2 linked regions of the Struthio camelus genome follow. The protein of the gene in region 1 interacts with the protein of each later gene in a biochemical or structural test. Links are inferred from orthologs where the notes say so. Each region holds a gene or a part of one and is shown on either strand. Other genes may lie near its edges.

What was found.
Region 2: the proteins of SNAP23 (region 1) and STX2 form a complex in vitro, tested with the Homo sapiens proteins (2 studies listed by BioGRID). The link is inferred for Struthio camelus from reciprocal best matches to the Homo sapiens genes SNAP23 and STX2.

What each region holds. Positions count from the first base shown.
Region 1 is NC_090946.1:42,630,864-42,640,240, forward strand, and holds the start of SNAP23 (synaptosomal-associated protein 23), read left to right. Parts: upstream 1-5,729; 5' UTR 5,730-5,890; intron 5,891-9,377. UniProt on the Homo sapiens protein: Essential component of the high affinity receptor for the general membrane fusion machinery and an important regulator of transport vesicle docking and fusion.
Region 2 is NC_090958.1:14,149,100-14,158,122, forward strand, and holds the start of STX2 (syntaxin-2), read left to right. Parts: upstream 1-4,722; 5' UTR 4,723-4,890; coding exon 4,891-4,920; intron 4,921-9,023.

The sequences.
Region 1 (9,377 bases):
ACGGCCTTAACATTACTTCTGGGCATGTGTGGGAGGTACTTCACCTTCCTACCAAGATGCTGAGCTGTGCAACCCAATCTGGTCAAGAGCCAGAAACAAAAGGACATACTATAGTTAAGTCATGACTGGCAGCATTATTCTGTCCTAACACATTAATGAGTCATGCACTGCACGACATTGTGATTATAGCTTTTTTTGAACACGGCAAAGGAAATAACTATATTATAGTCCAGTAGTTAGAAAGCTTGCACAGAAAGCAAGACTTTGGGTTCAACTCCTTCCCATTTTCCAAGTGCTAACTTCAGCCTCCTAACAGACTGAGGGCCGTTGAAGGCAGACAGAGCACACTCTAGACAGACCCTACCACACTGAAACAGCACCACTGTACAGCAAATGTTGCAACAGGGCTGCTGAGTCCTCAACTATTTTGACATTGAGCCAAGGAAGAGAGAAGAGTTATTTCAGAGATCAAAGTTCTTTAAGTTCCTGTTAAAAGCAATAAAGCTCACTCCACTAAATTGCCTAGAAGCCATCCAGGAGGAACCATTTGTATGTTATCCCATGAGTACTACAGAGAAGGTACACAGGAGATAAGGGATCATAGAGAAATACCTATACAAACAGACAAGCATATGCATGGAAACACCTGGCATGAACACGGAGTTTTCACTAATGTCTATTCTAACTTCAAGTAAACCAGAAGAGTAGATACAGCTTAAGCCACAATCAAACTGTATCTTTTTAGGTTCTCTGTATATACGCAATGTTAGATTTGTTTTTTCCAGTACTGTAGATTCTTGTTCTCAGTTCTAGAAAGGCAACATCAGTAAGTCAGTCTACATGTTCAGCCAATCATCATCCTATTTCAACTAGCAGGAAGAATTGTTAAAGTCAAATAAGCATGACCCATGAGAATCAGTATAGCAGCTCACACAGAAGCACACTGAACAACAAATCGCCATAAAATAGTTAAAAAACCAATACTTTTAGTCATTCACAATTTAAAATAAATTGACTTAATATTTCATGAAAATGCTTTCTGAACCATTAATCTAACTAAGGGGATCTCATTACAAATATACAGAGCCAGAAAGGACTCAACAGATTACCTGAATAGACTACCCTGGCACTAAGACAGCATGCTTAGACCATTCCAGACAGGCATCCACCTAATCAGTTCATAAACGTGTCCAACGAAAGACAGCCCAGAGTCCCTAACAAAACCTCTTTTAGAGCTCAGCTGTCGTTAGATTAATAAATACTTTCCTAGTACCCAACCTAAACTTTCCTTGCTGTAAAAATAAGCCATATATTCCTCCCTAGTGAAAACAAAGAATATCTTATGGTTATCTTATTTTCAATAGCTTTTTACACACTGAAAGATTCAGATTTAGGGATATAAACTGTCCTAATGTGAATGGAAAGTTGTTCAGCATCATTGCGGTATTTTGTGATTTAGGAGCACCTAAAATTCACACTATGATGGCTGTTATTTTCCCATATATTCACAGTTCTTTTCCAGACTTAGGCAAGCTCAGTTTCCTCAGATGTCTTCTCAAACATCACATTTTCTGAACCTATCCAAATTCCTGTTCCTCCTTCCAAGTTGCCTACCACACTTTGAAATGAATTTCCAAAATGGGACACAGTGCTTCAACTGAGACTCCTCTCATCACCTCTTTGAGAGGAGCACTGTCTTTGTACTCCTCCTATCATAATTTTTTTCAGCCTCAAACATAACTATTAACGATTGAGACAAAGTTTTATTAAGAATCAACGTAATGATCCACAATCTGGTACAAATAAGCTACTCCATTTAAATATGTCCGTGATTTATAACAGAACTCATATCAGCTTCTTTCAATAACCTTGTGCTGTTTGGCAAGAGATCTTCAACCAACAGACCCTCATAAGAGTGACAGAAATATCTGTCACTTAGTTTTACACTTATCTCTGCAACACTTGGTTGTATCTTTTTTTCTTCATAGCGTATTTATGCTCATAGCGCCCTTCACAGGTAGGCATAGTAGGTCTCTTTTACAGATTGGAAGCTAAGGAATAGCGACTTAGAAGCCAAATCCAAGCGGCCCACTGCACCGACCCAGCTTATCGCAATACTACAGAAGTAGGTACCTGGCCTTGGTAAGATGATTCAGACTCCCGAAGAAGGGCCTATATGATCTCTAGAGAGTGCATTGCAGAGCATTTAGTCAGTTATTAGGCTTATTCAATTTATGCAGTCGCTACAGAGCAATAAGAACCACTGAAGAGTGATACGAGGTTCTCATATTAAGGCAGTCAGGTCACCTGTAAGTAGATGGAGCTCTCGTGTCAAGTAAAACCAAGTTAAGGATCCCAAACACTGAGCTGGGAATCATTAACAGGCAAGCAATAAGAATACAGGGTCCTGTCTGAATACCTACACCTCTGTAATATAGGTACTTGGTCCCAGGGCTGACTATTCAGGGCTTTATCAACTTGGGATCAAAAAGAAAAATAGCCTAAGAGAAGTAGATGAGGGGGAAAAAATTGCTTACACAAGAAATAAGAACATTTTTATGAAAGAAAGAAGTAAGTTACAATGCATAATATCCTCTTATTTTTCCTATAACCAGTTTGAGTCATGTCACATCTCAAATCTTATGACACCATCTGGTGGCAGAGTTCACAGAAGACACTTATCAGATGTTAAAAAGAATTTCATCAATTTAAACTTGACTCCAAATATCTTATGAATTTTGTCTTTACAAGATGAAGTGAAAGCCCAACGGAAAAAAATGCCTTAATTTTATCTAGATGTTTTGACGAAGTTATCTACAAAACCTAGCATCCTCGTACACAATTTAAACATGTACTTATATGTTAGTGATTGTTATTATTCTTTGCACTGGATATCAGAACCTTGCATATATTAAGATGTATTTTGCTGCCACCTCTTCAAACACTTGACCCCTTTGGAGACATGGGCTAGAAGGTACCTTAACTTTGGTCACAGTGATACAGGTAACAGGCTAACATAGTTTGGCTAAAACCAGTGATTTGTTCTGAACTGAAACTACTGCAATACCATACCTATTCAACAAACTTTACAAACAAAGCTAGTCAGTACTGGTACGTATTGGTGATGTGAATGCAGCTGCCTTTCACTCTTGGCTGAAGCCAAGTAAGAACTAAAAAAATGCAGTTGCCTTTAATAAAAAAGACGGTCTCTTTTCAGGTCAGGATTGGAGTATATTTTCTAAGGTAAAGAAGTTACAAAGTCATATTACATTGGCCCTAAGGATCTGCAACATTCAGCCCAGACACTGCAATACTACTAGGAAGATAATTTCAGAGTTCCAAAAAACTATTAAAGAAGTTGTTAGAAGGCTTAAGTATTTTTAGGAGAGGACCTATCAGTCCAGCAAAGCAATCAGTTACCTCAACACAGTAATTAAAGCTTGATTGAAAGAAGTAGCAAATGAAGGATAGAAACAAGAAGCAGAGGAAGTCTGAGAAAAACAGCCCCAAGAACTCATGTTGAAAACAAAGTCCACCACACCTCAATCCTCTGAGCTCATCTGTTCTACAAATCCCTTTAAAGCCATGCTTGAGTGGAAGGGAAGGAGAAAAGGAAAATTTCTTACTTGCATTAGACAGTTGTTACCAGACCACTAGCAATAAGAATAGAAAAATATAAAACGATATTATATTGTCAAAAAGCAAACCACTCAAAACAAACTTAGCCCTTACAGAGCAGTTGTATAAACTTTAAGCATCAATGCTACTTCCGCTCAACATTCACAAAGTTTTTCCTAGTTGAAGGTCATAAGCCCTCCTGAACAGCTCTTACTGTAACTTAAGTTTGTGTATGAACTACTCTGCTTGCAATAACAAACACTTTTAAACAGCTCATATTTCATTATGTCATGAAGACCCGTATCAGAAACTCCACAGAAGTGGTCTCAGTCTTTTCAGGTTACCAGCCGCATTTATCGCCGCATTCATACACGCTTTCACGAGGATATACTTTTTAGCTTTATAGTGTGAGGAAGGTAACCGAGCAACTCTGAACCCAAAGCTGCGTTTCTGCCTCGGACGCTCTTCTAGCGGGTGCGAAGAGACAACACGACAGCCAACAGTCCGCAGCGGAGAACCTGCTCTGCACTGAACCCGACCACAGAGCTCAGGGGGCCCCGCCGCCGCCGCCGCCACCACCACCCGCGACGGCCGTGCCACAGAGCAAACCCAGGCCAGGCCCGGCCTGGCCCTGTCCGGCCGGGCCGGCGGCCGCTGCGACCCCGCCGCGCCGCCGGCCCCGCTCTCCCCGCACCCCGCCGCCAGGGGGGCCCCGCCGCTCGGCCCCCCGCTCCGCCACTCACACATCGCAGCCCTCGCCAGGGCAGCGGCCCGCCAACCCATCACTCGGCCGGCGCCCCGCAGGCCCCGCCGCCGCCCGCCCCGGGGCCGCCGCCGCTCGCACCGCGCCAGCGCCCGCGCCGGGCCGACCCCGCAGAGACCCGCGGCGCACGGCGGGGCGGGGCAACCCCGCGCCCCAGCCAATCCGCCAGCAGGGAGGCGGCCGCTCTGCATGCCGGGAAGTCCGCCTGCCCCCGCCGCGCTGCCTGCTGGGAAGTGTAGTTCGGGCGGCGGAGCGGTGTTAGAGGAAATACCCGCTTACTTCACTGCGGTAGGATACATGCTTGTCAGTTCGGGACGTTTAGTTACCGATAACAATAGTAATCATCGTTATTATCAGTCAGTATAGTGCCATAAACATGCATAGTTGAACCGTGCTGTAGTGCTGTATGCTACTGCTCGAAAAACCTGCTCCTGAAAATCACACACATAGCAGTAGCAAGAAGCCACAGAAATTGTGCTAGGACCAGCACAGGCTGAGCTAGCCTGACAAATCACCTTCAGGAACAGTCTGAAAGGCTTAAGAACAAGTGCCTGTGCTTGTGGCTGGGCTGCGTAACACACAGTAAACCTCAGTCCAGTGGGACCTCTCAAGAAGCGTAAGCCAAAGGGGGCTCTGGATGCTGTAAGGGAAAGCGAAACAAGGCCCGCCTCTGAGACCACAGAGGTTTCATCCCGAGAGGGCACTTCATTAGCCTTAGAAGAGCAGCGCAGCCCACTCTGTGCCCTGATGGCATTGAGAAGTGCTGATGTTGCCCTGGGTTAACAACATTACAGAAGGTATATGATCTTAACGGCAACCTCAGCACAGAAAAAATCAGTTACACTTCAGGAGGAAAACATACACGGAAAGTCAGCACAGTTCAACTATAAAGCGCAAGACCCACAGCTTCCCCTTGCCGGAGGCCCCTGCCCTCTTTCTCCCTCTAGTTACACAGGAGTGGTTAAGGTCCTTCCTCAGAGTGACGGGTACCTCACTCTCAGAAAAATCTCACTGATTCCAACGGGGCTACCGACATACTACGTCTTTATTTAGCATAGCTGCAACTGGCAAAACCCGGACCCTATCGCACCGGCCACGTACAGCCGTCGCCCACCGGCGGAGCGCCGCGGCGCCTTGGCGCATGCGCAGGAGTCCCGTCAGCCACCTCATGGCGCCATGTTGGGTGCACCCAACCTGCGCGCGCCGCCGGACGTTTCCCACGAGGTGCCGGCGGCCCCGCTATAGGCAGGCGGGCGGGCGGGCGGGCAGGCAGGCGGGCGGCTTCTCTTTCCCGCCATGTCGAGTGTGGCGCGCGGCGCCGCGTCCGCCGGGGGTTGCTGGCTTCCCCTTCCGGGGCGGGGCGGTGGCCAGTGACGCGCGGGGCGGGTGGGCGCTCCGCAGCGGGGGCGGGCGGGCGCTGGGCCGTTAAAGGGGCGGCGAGGGGTGCGGGGCCTGGCTTAAGGGTGGCGACCGTTGCGGGGCGTGCAGCAGCGGTGGCGACGACGACAGGTGCGTGGCGGCGGCGGCAGCAGTAGCAGTAGGCGTGTGTGGTGGCCGCCCCAGCCTGCCGACTCGCCGCTCCGCGCCCCGAGCGGAGCAGCCGGGGCGGCGGCCGCGGGAGTCAGGCTGGCAGGTCGAGTCCCCTTCCGCCTTGCCGTTAACGGCTCGGCCCCGCCGGGGCCGCGGCTGGAAGGGCACCGGTGACGGGGTCGTGGCTGCCCGGGAGGGCCGCTGGTGTGGCGGGGCCTGGGGCTGCGCGCAGCCCCTGCTCCACCCTGGCCTCGCCGTGCCGAGAGGCCCGTGCCGCTGGGGTCCGAGCCCTGCGCTGGGCGGGCGGGGGAGGATCCTGGGCGGCTTTCGGATGTTTCTTCTGTGCTTGACTGAACTGATCCGGTTGTATGTTACCGGAGGCACTCCTCCTGTTATTGCTGTTTTTAAACTCTTATGGTTTCCTGCCTTTAGACACGAGTTGGTAAAATTCTGATAGGTACGAACAATAAGTGTTAGAAGTAACTTGTGGGTCTCTGTTTAACTGTAGATCTCGAAACCTTTAGCCCTCCTAGGAAACTGATAAAGAATAGTCAGCTTTATTTTTCACTCTTCTCTTTTGAAGACTTATCTCGGGCAGAGTGCAATTACTGCTTAACACAAAGGTGTAACACAGCACACAATTCCTCAACCCAGACAAATGGGCTGGGGAAGCTTTGGAACTTCTTTATACAGCTTTCCTAGCTATTTGTGTTCCCTTTTTCTGAGGGCAATAGGCATTCAGGACTCAGAACTAAGTAGCTGAGTTTTCCTTTACTTCTCCCTTCATTTAAAAAAAAAAAAAAAGAAAAAGCTAATTCTCTGCTGCAGGTAGAACAGCTATACAGGAAGGCATTTAGGGGCAAAGGAAAAACCTCCCTGGATGTCAATTGCATGATTCTTTGGTTTGAGCAATGAATTCCTTACTGGCAGTCTGGTAACTAGTCTGTATGCCTTAGCGCCCCGATTCTGCAGGGTTTTTAAGTAGCTGATTGTATAGCTTTTTGCACAGTGTTCTTCGTTAGGCAGACAAAATAGCAGCTGTTACTGTCTGTATGTTGATCTAGAGTTGCTTGTTAACTTGTATTGGCTAATAACTAAACTGGAGGAGGTATCACGAGGCTTTTCCAGCAACAAAAATTGCTTGTTGGAACTAGCATAGAAGAGAACACATAGCATAGAGGAGGTGGTGTTGCTAGCGCCTATTCTTTTGGCTGTCTCCTCTGTGCAGTGTGTTCAGGAAGCTGATAAGAGAAAGCAGGAAGCATGCAGAGTGGTTTCTTGTTCTTGGGTTCTGGCCCCTTCCCCCAGTGTCACAGATGCTTTATTCATTTATCTTGTAGACATAATAGCCTGGAGGAGTACGCTCTGGTGCTGATACCTTGTACCAGCCTGTATTTGCTGGGCTGAATTTCAGCTGCTGAACATAAGTAGCATTTTCTATTTGAATAAGGAAGGTTTTTCAAAAGCAGCTCCTGCATTGGTGATGCAAATGTTTTTGTTTTGTTTTGTACTTTTGTATCAAGTCACCTACTCTGTAAACTGTCTAGTTTTAATCTGTGCAAGAGCACACAACTTTCATAATTTATTTTCAATTTTTTCTAAAAATAGTTCTGTTAATGTTCTTCATCTTTTGGAGAAGGCAACTGCTCACTTTACAGGTGAAGGAACAGAGAGCATCCGTGATCTTCTGAGGCTATACCGGTTCACTGATGGCTAAAATTATAGCTCATGAGATCCTGGCTTTCGTTCTGCTGCTGAGACATCTGGATTGTGTCTTCTTGCACTTCCTATCTTTGTTTATAACACAATTGCCCATAAGACGGCGTAGGCTGAATTTTTCAATCATATTTTTTTTTGCCATATCAGCTGGGGGCTATTTGTTATTTCTTCCCTGGTACTTGTAATAAATATCAATGGAAAGATCTAGCTACCAATTGTAGGTTTTTAAGGATAATACTTTGGTATATTTACTGGTAGATTAGTTTTTTAAAAGTATACAATACAGGAATTACTTTCTGATATATCTGAAATGAGGAGGTAGTCAAATATGGGTACATGTGAATAGAAAGGATTAGATCTTGCGTAATCATGACTTTTTGAAAATGAATAACTTGGGCATGCATGTCTAAAAGTTTTCTGATCAACTATGCCATATTTAGTTCCTGACTACTGAAAACTTTTGACTGGATTTTGAGGAGAAAAACAGCGTGAAGCCTTAAGTGCTCTAGCAAGACTCCATGCTTTGCAGGAGTTGACTCATTTTCATTCACAACTTGGAAATAGCTTTTCTGAGAGAGAAATTCTTCTAGAAGGCAAATTTAATGACCCTTATATTTCCAGCATTAAAAAAAAATGACCTAATCCCCACTTGTAACTCTCACAGCTGTTGTCTTCCATTGCCAAAAGTATTACACTACATTCTTCTAGCTTTAGTTCCTACTCCTAAGAAAATTGGGAACCTCTTGCTTATTATGTGTTTATGGAATAGGCACTAAGGTACAGATTGTTCTTTGTTACTGATGCTAGCAAAATGTCTTTAACTGAAAAAGGAAGAGCTTCAGCCTGCATTTCTAGCTGAGGACTAGTAGTGCAGGAGGAAGGATGAAGGACTGTTTTAGACATCCTGATTGTTTAGGTTCAAATAAGGAGCATCACCAGTTGACAAGGAATTAATTTGGGATATCTGAGAAATGTGATAGGTGTCTCTCACATCTGTGAAAGGCTGTCTGTCAGAGGCACAAAACTGCTGCATGTCAGCCAGAGATGCGAGACTGAAAATCTTGCTGAGTTTGTTAAACTGCAAGTGATCAATACAGTATATTGGTCTAGTGCAGAGAGACCTGTGTAGTTGAGGAAAACATGTCACTTTTGACACTCTCTTTCCCTGTCAAAATTAGATCTTTCAAAATGTCTTAGTTTGAAGGGATGACAGGAATGCACAAAATCTCCAGGTGTAACAATTTTTTTTAAAAATGCTCCTACCCTGAGTGCCAATATGAAATGATGTTTGTCTGCAGTAGATAGCTTAATGTCCTTTCCAGATGTGGACGGTGTAATTGCAGTTAAACACGTCATTAGACTTTCTGGCACCCAGTAGTTTGTTCAAATTCAGAGATATCTAAGACAGAAAATTCTTATGGGCTTTGAGTGCTTTGGACAGCACACTCTAAATATGTGTTGACTGTCTTAAAGCAAGGATGTAACTTTTTTTCTAGAGTTGATAACTTTTCAAAAATGCCTGTTCAAACAGTAGGTAAATTGCGTACCATAGCTTTCATTACCTTGGAAGTGTCTTTTTTTGCAAGTCTGAGAAAAATATTTGGAATGAAAAAGCCTGAAAGGGATATGCAATTTCACTGTTGTAACAGCTTTTGAAACTTGCCTATATTTATACCTATGGTCTGCTTCTGTTGGAAACTTTGAGTGTTGGTTGTAAATAGTTGACTTCAAATTTGCATGTAATTCT
Region 2 (9,023 bases), on another chromosome or scaffold:
ACTCTAAAAGAGATGTTTTGCATAGGATTATAAATATCAAGTCCGTGGGGTCATACTGACTTTTAAGCACCCTGCTCTTTTTTCCTCTGGTGTACTTAGGCAGTATGTTCCTTTTTTGTGGTCTGCATAACATTTATTTGTTGCTGCATCCCCTAATCAAGGATAAATACATTAATTTTTAAATACTTCTGGCTTGAAATAATATAGATTTTTTTTCATGGAACATGACACACGCAAACAGACTATTTCTTGTTCATTCTCTGCATACATGGAGGCAATGCATACAGAAAGCTTTACAATCTCTCTGCTGTAATATTCACATACTTAGTCGTGGAGCGCCACTCCAAAATTTTATTTAAATTTTTCTTTGTTGCAAAAATCACTGGTTTGTTGAGCTTGTTTTCTTTTTTTCTTTTTTTTGGAGGAGGTGGTACAATGGGGTTTCTCTGAGCCTTTTTGGTGATCACCCCTAGGTGCCAGAAAGGATGTTTTTAAGAATATGTAATTCATATTTTTCTCAGTACAATGCTATCTTTATAAACCTCTTACGAATCCACCCATCTTCTTGACAAATAGGAATCCATTTATTAATAGGAGCCCATAAAGCCACATAAGTGGAGTTTGTGGCAGTGTTTAAGAATATAAACACTTCCAGGAAAATCTTCAATCTGTGACTTTGTCTACACAGTGCTAAGTATGCTTTAGAAGCGTGGAGCTTGTTAAAATAATAATAAATTCAGGTCTTGGATTATTTGAGTGCTCCCCTAACCTACTACCATGAGATAGTTAATTTCTCCTATCAGTCAGTTCCCAAACTGATCAAACTGCGAAGACTACAAACACTGAAACAGATCTTTGTCTTCTGTTCTCTTCAACAAGTGTTAATATGATAAAAATTCAGCCTTGTATGTTATTACATGGAAGCATACTACTGATCATGGAATGAGAGTTCGTTTGTTTATTTAATCCTCCACTTAGCGCTGAATTTCAGTAAACAAACTGCATGTCTCCAGTGCACAGTCTTGGACTGTGTGGTGAACAGTAGGAAAGACATGTAAAAATATAACTTTTTATTGTCATACTTAGAAGACTATGAAACTCAGAAACTACGTTTGCAAAGGTTTTCATAGTTTTCACAACACGAGTTTTGGATAAAGAACTCTGTTTTTCTGCTTAGACCATGACATCACAATGAAAGGAAATCTGAATATGTACTGTGTATATATAGACTTTTCAATGTATTTTCAAACTAATGTGCAACTAATTGATATTACTGAATTATGATAGAGCCTTAATGAAGTGTTTAAGAGCTCTCCATACACAGGTGCTTCCGGCCTTACCAGAACTACCTGTTGGACTTTGCCATTCCCTAGAGCCAGGAGAGTGGGGTAGATTAAAGCGTTCCAACGGGAGAATGCCTTAGAGCTGCAGAAAGGACCCTAAGTACTGCTAATCACTAACACGGCAGTGAAGTGCAAGGACTTGTCTTAACTGGATTCACACATTGTAGTCCAAGGGAGCTTAACCTCCAGAGGAAAAGACATCTCTTCTTCCAAGGAACACAGACCACCCAGTGGATAAGTTGCCCTTTGCATCTCAGTTGACTATAGCCTTAAACCTTTATGTTGAATTGCATGAGACAGTTGTTGCTCAACTGATAGACAGTTTGGGCAATACTAGTTGTTCTTTATTTAACTACATGTTGCACTAATACTTTTAAAATATATTAATCCAATATACACAAGGTGTAAATACTTTGAACTGCGCTCACTTCCCAATTCGTGCAAAGAAGGGGCATATCAGTGATTCCAGTTCCTGTTAATCTTTCAAATATACCTAACGTTGATTTGCTAGGCGCCCGTGCAAAACTTTGAAACCCACTTGGGCCTATTTGAAAATTAAATATAACAGAATTGTCTGGGTAATTCATACAACAGAAACTGTTCCCTTTGTTATGAACGTAGGACAGTTATAACAAGTGAGCACCAGCCCAGCACTCTAGAAAACACTAGCTGAGAATGTTGTACTTACACCCCTGACAATAATGAAAAGATACATGATGTCTTGACATAAAAGATATTGTAAAGTGGCCACACAACTGCATCAGGAAGACAGCTGGAGTTTATGGAACTGGTTTGGGTCTCTGGAACTAAGATTGTATATGAATTCCTTATAATTGTTACAGTAGTATTATGCTTTCTCTGTTTTCTTCTTAAGTGTTGTCTGTTACATTTTTGTAACTGTTGCTTAAATTGGAAATATTCATCAGGCCAGCAAAAGGCTCAAGATGTACGAGGAATTTGCCTTGCTATGCTGGAAGCTTGTGAGTGAAAGAAGGAAGAAATTGATAAACTTAAGCTCATTTCAACTGAATAAGGAAACCTAGATGCAAGAGGGGATGAGGAGACAGCATGGCCTGAGCAGTGAGAGGATCTGTTTAGAAGCCCTGAGCTGGGCATCTGTGGCTCCTCTACCATACTCTGGGTGTGAGACTGGTAGTCTCAAAGCGGGGAGCTGTGGTAGTTTGTGTAAATATACAGACTATTTCAGGGTTTTATTTACTGTTTAGGGATTTAAAAGGCAATCTTGGTTGAGGCCTGTCATGGATGTTTCTTAACTGTGCTAGCACTTTCCTTCATAGACAAGCTGAAGCAGTCACCAGTTAAAACCAGATCCATCCAGCCTTGAGGCGCGAGGGATTTATAGCATTCCATAAAAGGAAAAGTGTTTGATTATGACCTTTGACTGGTTAAGAAGCTTCTTGAATAACTAAGAAAGTACATAAAAAGCCTTGTTCCTCTTTGCTATGTAGAGACCAAATTGGTGAGGTTTATTTTCACCTTTGCCACCATGTGCTCTCTCCTATAGCTACTAATAGTAAATAAAAGCTTCTCTTCTGACCTAACCCAGAAGTATTGAGGATTTCTTCGACAGAAGCTTCTAAGTATTGTAACAAACTAATTAGTAAACTATCTTTTTTTCCTTCAAACAAAACAATAATACTGTGTGATACTTTACTTTGGAACAATTAAACGTGACTTGCTAATTAAAAAGTCCCCAATCATTTGATTTGAGCTCCTGCCAAATATTTACAAGTTGTTGCAGAGATAAGTTTGCCATATAGGATCTACTTGTTAGCATCTGTTTTAAATATATACAAATAAGTATTCAGTTCAGAGGATCTACAAAACATCTACTCCAGATAGCTCCATTCAGCAAAGGCCACAAAACACTTCCAATGACTAATCAGCAGCGTTAGATAACCAAGACATTAGGGTCCCTAAGATATCACTACGTAATCAGCAGAATAATAAGCCTTAAAAGATCTTGTACATTTCCTGTACCTTGACTCAGCTCAACTGTGAACAAACTGAGCCACTGACCCAGATAAAGTAAAGGACAGCACTTAGGAAGTCAGGGAAGATGCAAATAAAGAGTGGTACAAAAGCTTGTACTGGAGATGACCACAGTCACAGAGCTAAACAGCATGTTATCTTTGAACACAACTGCTACGTTAGCAAACTATTTTGCAAACTCTAGAAGATGACAACAGTGCATACCAGCAAGAAATTAAAAGGAATATTGGTATGTTTCACAGTCAAAGCACTGATTGTGGAAATGTCTGGAATATTAGCTCAAACAGAAACAGAGCTCTGCACACTGGTGTTCCAGGTGACACATGAAATTTAAAAAGGAAATTAGTCATTTTCAACATGGATAGGTAAAACGGATCACTCAGGATCACTGAGGACTTTATGCATTCTATGGTATGTCTGCGATGTTTCCTAGAATCTCTCAGGCCTTTAAAGCATATCTGTTATTGCACTGATTTACGACTTTGGCAAAGTCTTTAATTTGTCTTCCTGTGACACTTTGTGGTCATTGTTTTTGATGTTTTACCTGAGACCTTAAAGTCACTACAAGGCAATGTTTCTCAGCGCTTATTAGTTGAAGAGTTTAAAAAAAAAAAAAAGTCCTCAGCTCATCTTCTGTTCCACAAAATGAAGTGTGCAACTTTAATTTCCTGTCATTACGTTGATGTTCTAAGAATGACTAGCAAGCCGTAGTTTAATGTTACGGAACAGCAAAAGGAAGTATCTATGGCCTGTGGTGAGCTGAACTGTCAGAAAAGAGAGGAAACAGTCTGTTCACTTTCTGAACTAAATATGCATTGCATGAAGTCTGATTGCCGCCTACCCACGTGACTCACCAGAGAAGAATTAAATAAAATACAGCTGAAAAATAACCCTATCGCAACTTTTAACAGTTTGTTTCGCTGATGACAGTCTCCCCAAGTTTTGTGCTATTATAACATCCTGCTGTTACGCGCCTAGCAGCACTGCTCGCTGGGGCTGGGAATTTCCTCGTGGGTACCGTTCAGAAGAGTCAGTTCTCTAACTCCGCACGTGTCTACCTCTGGAAGTGCCCGTCTTGAACAGGCCCGCGGCAACGCGCGACTCCGCCGCGCCTCCCTCCCCCCAGCTCCCACCGGCCTCTTCGCAAATACTGGCGCAGCTACCCGCGCCCTCCTCGGGCCTTGCCGTGACGTCAGCTCCCCGGCGGACGGGTGCCGCGCCCGGCCATTCCGCGCGGCCGCGCCCAGGAATTTGCATCGCGGCCACCACCCCCTTCCTCGCGAGGCGCATGCGCGGAGCCGGGCCGCCGTTGCCGTGACTTTGGGAGGGGGCGGGGCGGTGGCAGCTGCCCCTCGCACCGCGGAAGGAGAGCGGGGAGGCGGCGCGGCCCGGCCGGTCCGCTGAGCCCGGCCGAGGAGGGAGCGGAGGGGTCGGGGGGGTGGCGGCGGCGGCGGCGGGCCGAGCGCCGGCGGCTCTCTTCGGCGGGCGAGGAGCAGCCGGGGAAGCCTCGGGGTGGCGCTGAGCTGCTGCGGGGATGAAGGACCGGCTGGCGGACCTGGCAGAGGTGAGGGCTGCGGCGGGGGGCCGGAGGGCAGGTGGCGAGCGGGGGCGGCCGAGAGGCTAGTTCGGGGGGGGGAGGGGGGGCGGCCCCCGGGAAAGGGGGGGCGGCAGGCGGCGGAGCCGGTGGCGAGGAGAGGGGCGGCGGGGTGTGAGGGGCGGGGGAGGTGGTCGCCGCGGTCGCCGCCTGAGGTAACGGTCGGCGGCGGGAACGTGGATGTTCCGTTGGTGGATGCGCTGAGGCGACGCCTCGGCCCGGTCCCTGGGGGCAGGGAGGTCTCCGAGCTGCCGCGCGCTGTTTTCCCACTCCCTCCTCGAGGAGGAGGAGGAGGAGAACTTCCTTCCCCAGAGATGGGAAGACGCTTCTAAGCGTCGGGATTCTTACAACAAACTTCAAGCTCCTGCGATTTGTTTTTATAGCTTAAGTTCTCCCTCTTCCTCCCTCCAGCACACTTTAAATATTAATATTCTGAATGACGGATGAACGGGGGAAAACAATTTTGTTTTTGAACTGTCCACAGTGTAGTGGAATAGAATATCTGCTTTGGAACCGTTTCACCAGTAATACGTTCATCAGCAAATAAAGCTATCTGCAGATCCTGTTTTGCGTGTGTTTTAAAAATGGTAGTTGGAAATGTTTATTCGTTCTTTTCCTTCCTCTTATTTACGCTTCAAAAGCAGTATCCTTAAGAAAAGAGGGAGAGTTGGAGGGAGGTACTGTGTTGTCTGTTTTCAGCAGGACATGGCTTGGTCAAAATAAAAGAGTATTTGACTCTATTCCAAGGATAAATGAAATTGGAGCGCGCACAGGAGTCTCTAATACTTTTAGGACTCTCCACATATACGTAGTTGGCCTCTGCTGAGCTATGTACAGATTTGGGCCTTATTTGTCTTAAATTCACATCTTATGGTTCAGAAAATACATTTCAGAAGCTCTGTTCTTATGCAGTAGGATTACCAGTCTGTCTTCCTCTCCAAAAGGGTGAATTGGCATTTGAAAAGTTTTTGCATGATTAGGTTACAGTGTCTTTACCAGGGAAGATAGAGGAGAGTCTTGTCAAAGAAAAGTGTATTTTCTTTCAGGTATATTTCTCTTCTCCTATTTCCTGTTTCTAAGTTTGTCCAGGTTGTAGGAATACGTGCCAAATTTCAGTGGTGGTGCATTCTTCCCAGGAAAAAGGAAGCAGCAAACGGTGATCTGAATTTGCTTTTTAATTTATAGTCTTAAAACATGTAGTCTGCCCTGACTGTAGGGAAGCAGCAGTGGTCTGTCTTTGATTAAAAAATAAAAATAATTCACTTAGATATTGTTAGACGCTTTTAAAGTAACTCTGTACGTAGGGGTTTCTAGGCCACCTTTAATATTTTTCATCTAAAAGCATCATTGCTGCAAACTGCTACTTTAATTGCAAACACTGGGATCAATATTTGTCAAGTGCTTCATACGTTCAAGAGTATAACTGAGGTTTACAACCTGTAAAATTAACAAATAGCAAAGGGATCTAAAATAAGGACTCTATTCGAATAAAGGACAGAGAACTCTCTTCTAACAAGAACAAAGTGAAGGCAATGTCAAGTGAAAGCAGAAAGATCAAAGATCCAACCTATGTTTTATCACTTGAAAGCATGCTATTGGTCAAAAGTTTAGAGAAGATACATACCAGAGGAGATAGCCTTTGTAAAACTTGATATCCACAGGGAATTCATAGAAGTAGCGACTAAGATCTTGCCTCTTTATCTGAAACATCAAAAGAGATGAAATTTTGGTGATGTGAAAGATTTTCCTTTACTACCATAAACACTTTGAACAGTGATTCTTTCCTTGATAATACATAGATAAAATTACTTTGAAAAGGAATAAATCACCTCTAGAAATCATACAAACTGCATTAACATTTGTTTGCCCATTTTCCAAACTGTTTCAGACTAGTTAGTATAAGTTGCACTGTATTTTATGTGGCAAAATCATTAAGTGAAGGGTAGTGGTTGTATGTTGCAGTTTTTAAACAGGCCTGGGCCTTCATGATCTTCAGGAATTACTAAGTCTTTGCCTTAATGTGAGAATGTTATTTTGTATTTAATTGATTATATCTTATATGAAAGCTACCTCCATCTTGTTTCCTTAAAAGACTTGATATGCTACACAAATCGTTTAAGAGATCGTAGCACTTTAACCAGTCCACACTGACCTGCTTTAAATAAATGCAATGCTCCCTTAAGAAGAAACACACATTTAAGTTTACAAGTCCTCATTTCCATGTTCCTGAATTGTAATTGAAGGCAAGAAAATTATTTTGTCACTTAAAATGGAAGATTTTGTTTTCTTAGATTTCTCTTTATAAAGGATAGCAAGCAATGTTAGTTATTAATGTTCATGGTCCATTGGCAGATGAAATTATCTCAACTTGTGGATACTTTTGTTCATACACTATATCAGACAGTTAAATAGTGCTAAAATACTTCCTGGAAAGAGAAACTGTTGTGGACATGCAGATAATGTTGCTGCTTATTATTTGTCAGCTAGGAAGAGTCTTGCAATGTACATACGTTTCTCAGAAGATAACAGCCTTACGTGTATTTGTTCACTTCTGGGGGATGATTTCAACATCTTGTTTACAAATTATTCTGTCTGCTCTCTTTTTTATTCCTTTGCTGCGATTGACTGGACAATTCATCAAGTTCCAGAGGTATTTAGTTATTTTTAGCCAAAACGAGTGTAAGATTAAAATGAGAATAAAAAGTTCTACCTAACTCAACATGTTGTTTTCAACAGTGCTCAATGGCGTATGCATAGTGAAGAAAAGAACAACAGGGCAAGCACGTAGCAATGATTCCCTGGCCTATTCTCCTAGCCCTGAATGGTTTGCAGTTTGGGGTTACACGACCACATTAAAATGATGTTAATATTTTAAAGAGTTATACAGTCTGTGCTCTGATGGTGGGTTCAGCACATCTAGCCAGCATTGGGTATTAAAAACAGAAAAACAGATGTCCTTTTAAAGATCTGCTAATAGAGTTCAAATTTTTTTTTTTGTTATGCCATTTAAAGATGTAAGATATAAACCTTTTCTGCTTAAGCAAACTTAATGCTTACAGTAACTTGAACAGAACTGCACTGATTTTTTTATTTTTATTTTTATTTTTTGTGAATAACCTCTTGTGCATTCACTTAGTGCCCCAAAAGTTCTATTTAGGAGTAGGGTAAAGAACCACAAAGTCACAAAATTTAAAATCGGTAGAATTGTAGCAGTAAGGAAAAACTGGAAGAGGAACTTTTTCAGAGTGAGGAAAAAAGTTGCCAAGTTATTTCTTCTGAGTTCATTTTTTACATTAGTCTTTGTTTAAGCATAGACTCTTCTAACGATGAGCTATGAGTTTTCCATGCCATAACAGCATAAAGTAGTTTCCTATAGTTGGTCACGATATGATCTTTTTCTATGTTGTGCAGTAATGCTACTAACATGCATGTTAGCGATTGACCTGCTAAAGGTGCCTGACTGATCTGGTTGGCCCTCAGTAAGGGAAAAGGCTTACTACCTGTGATAAAGAAAATTTCTTGAAAGACTGATGCTGTGAGGAAAAAATTGAAAAGCTACGTGCTCATGGTCAGGAGTGCACACAGATTAACATGGATTCAGTGACATATAGATCAATAGCTCTGGAGTCAGAAATTATCTAATAAAAAGTATTTTAAGTAGAACAGACTGGGAAAACTTCAATTTTAATGTAGGAGATGTCAGGTAAAAATTGTAGTCTGTTAAAAGATAGACTCTCCATATAGGAAAAAAATTCTACTTTCTATTAAAATATGTAAGTAGTAATTTTAGGAAGTTAAAAGATTTCTTGGATAATAAAAGCAATCCTTTAATGGAAACGGGCAACCATAAAGGTTATTTTCGGTGTTGTCAGCATTGTTTCCTTGTATGCCCATCTAGTTCACTGAGTAATGTGGGAGTGTGTGTGTACAAAGGAGCTAAGCTACAGTTTGCATGGGTAGCTGTAAATCTGGCATTTGCTGTCCCTCAGGTGCTTGATTTTTGTATGCGAAATAACTTTATGCAGCTTAGTTTGTTTAGCCTGTAAGTTCTCTAGACTTTTTTTTTTTTTTAA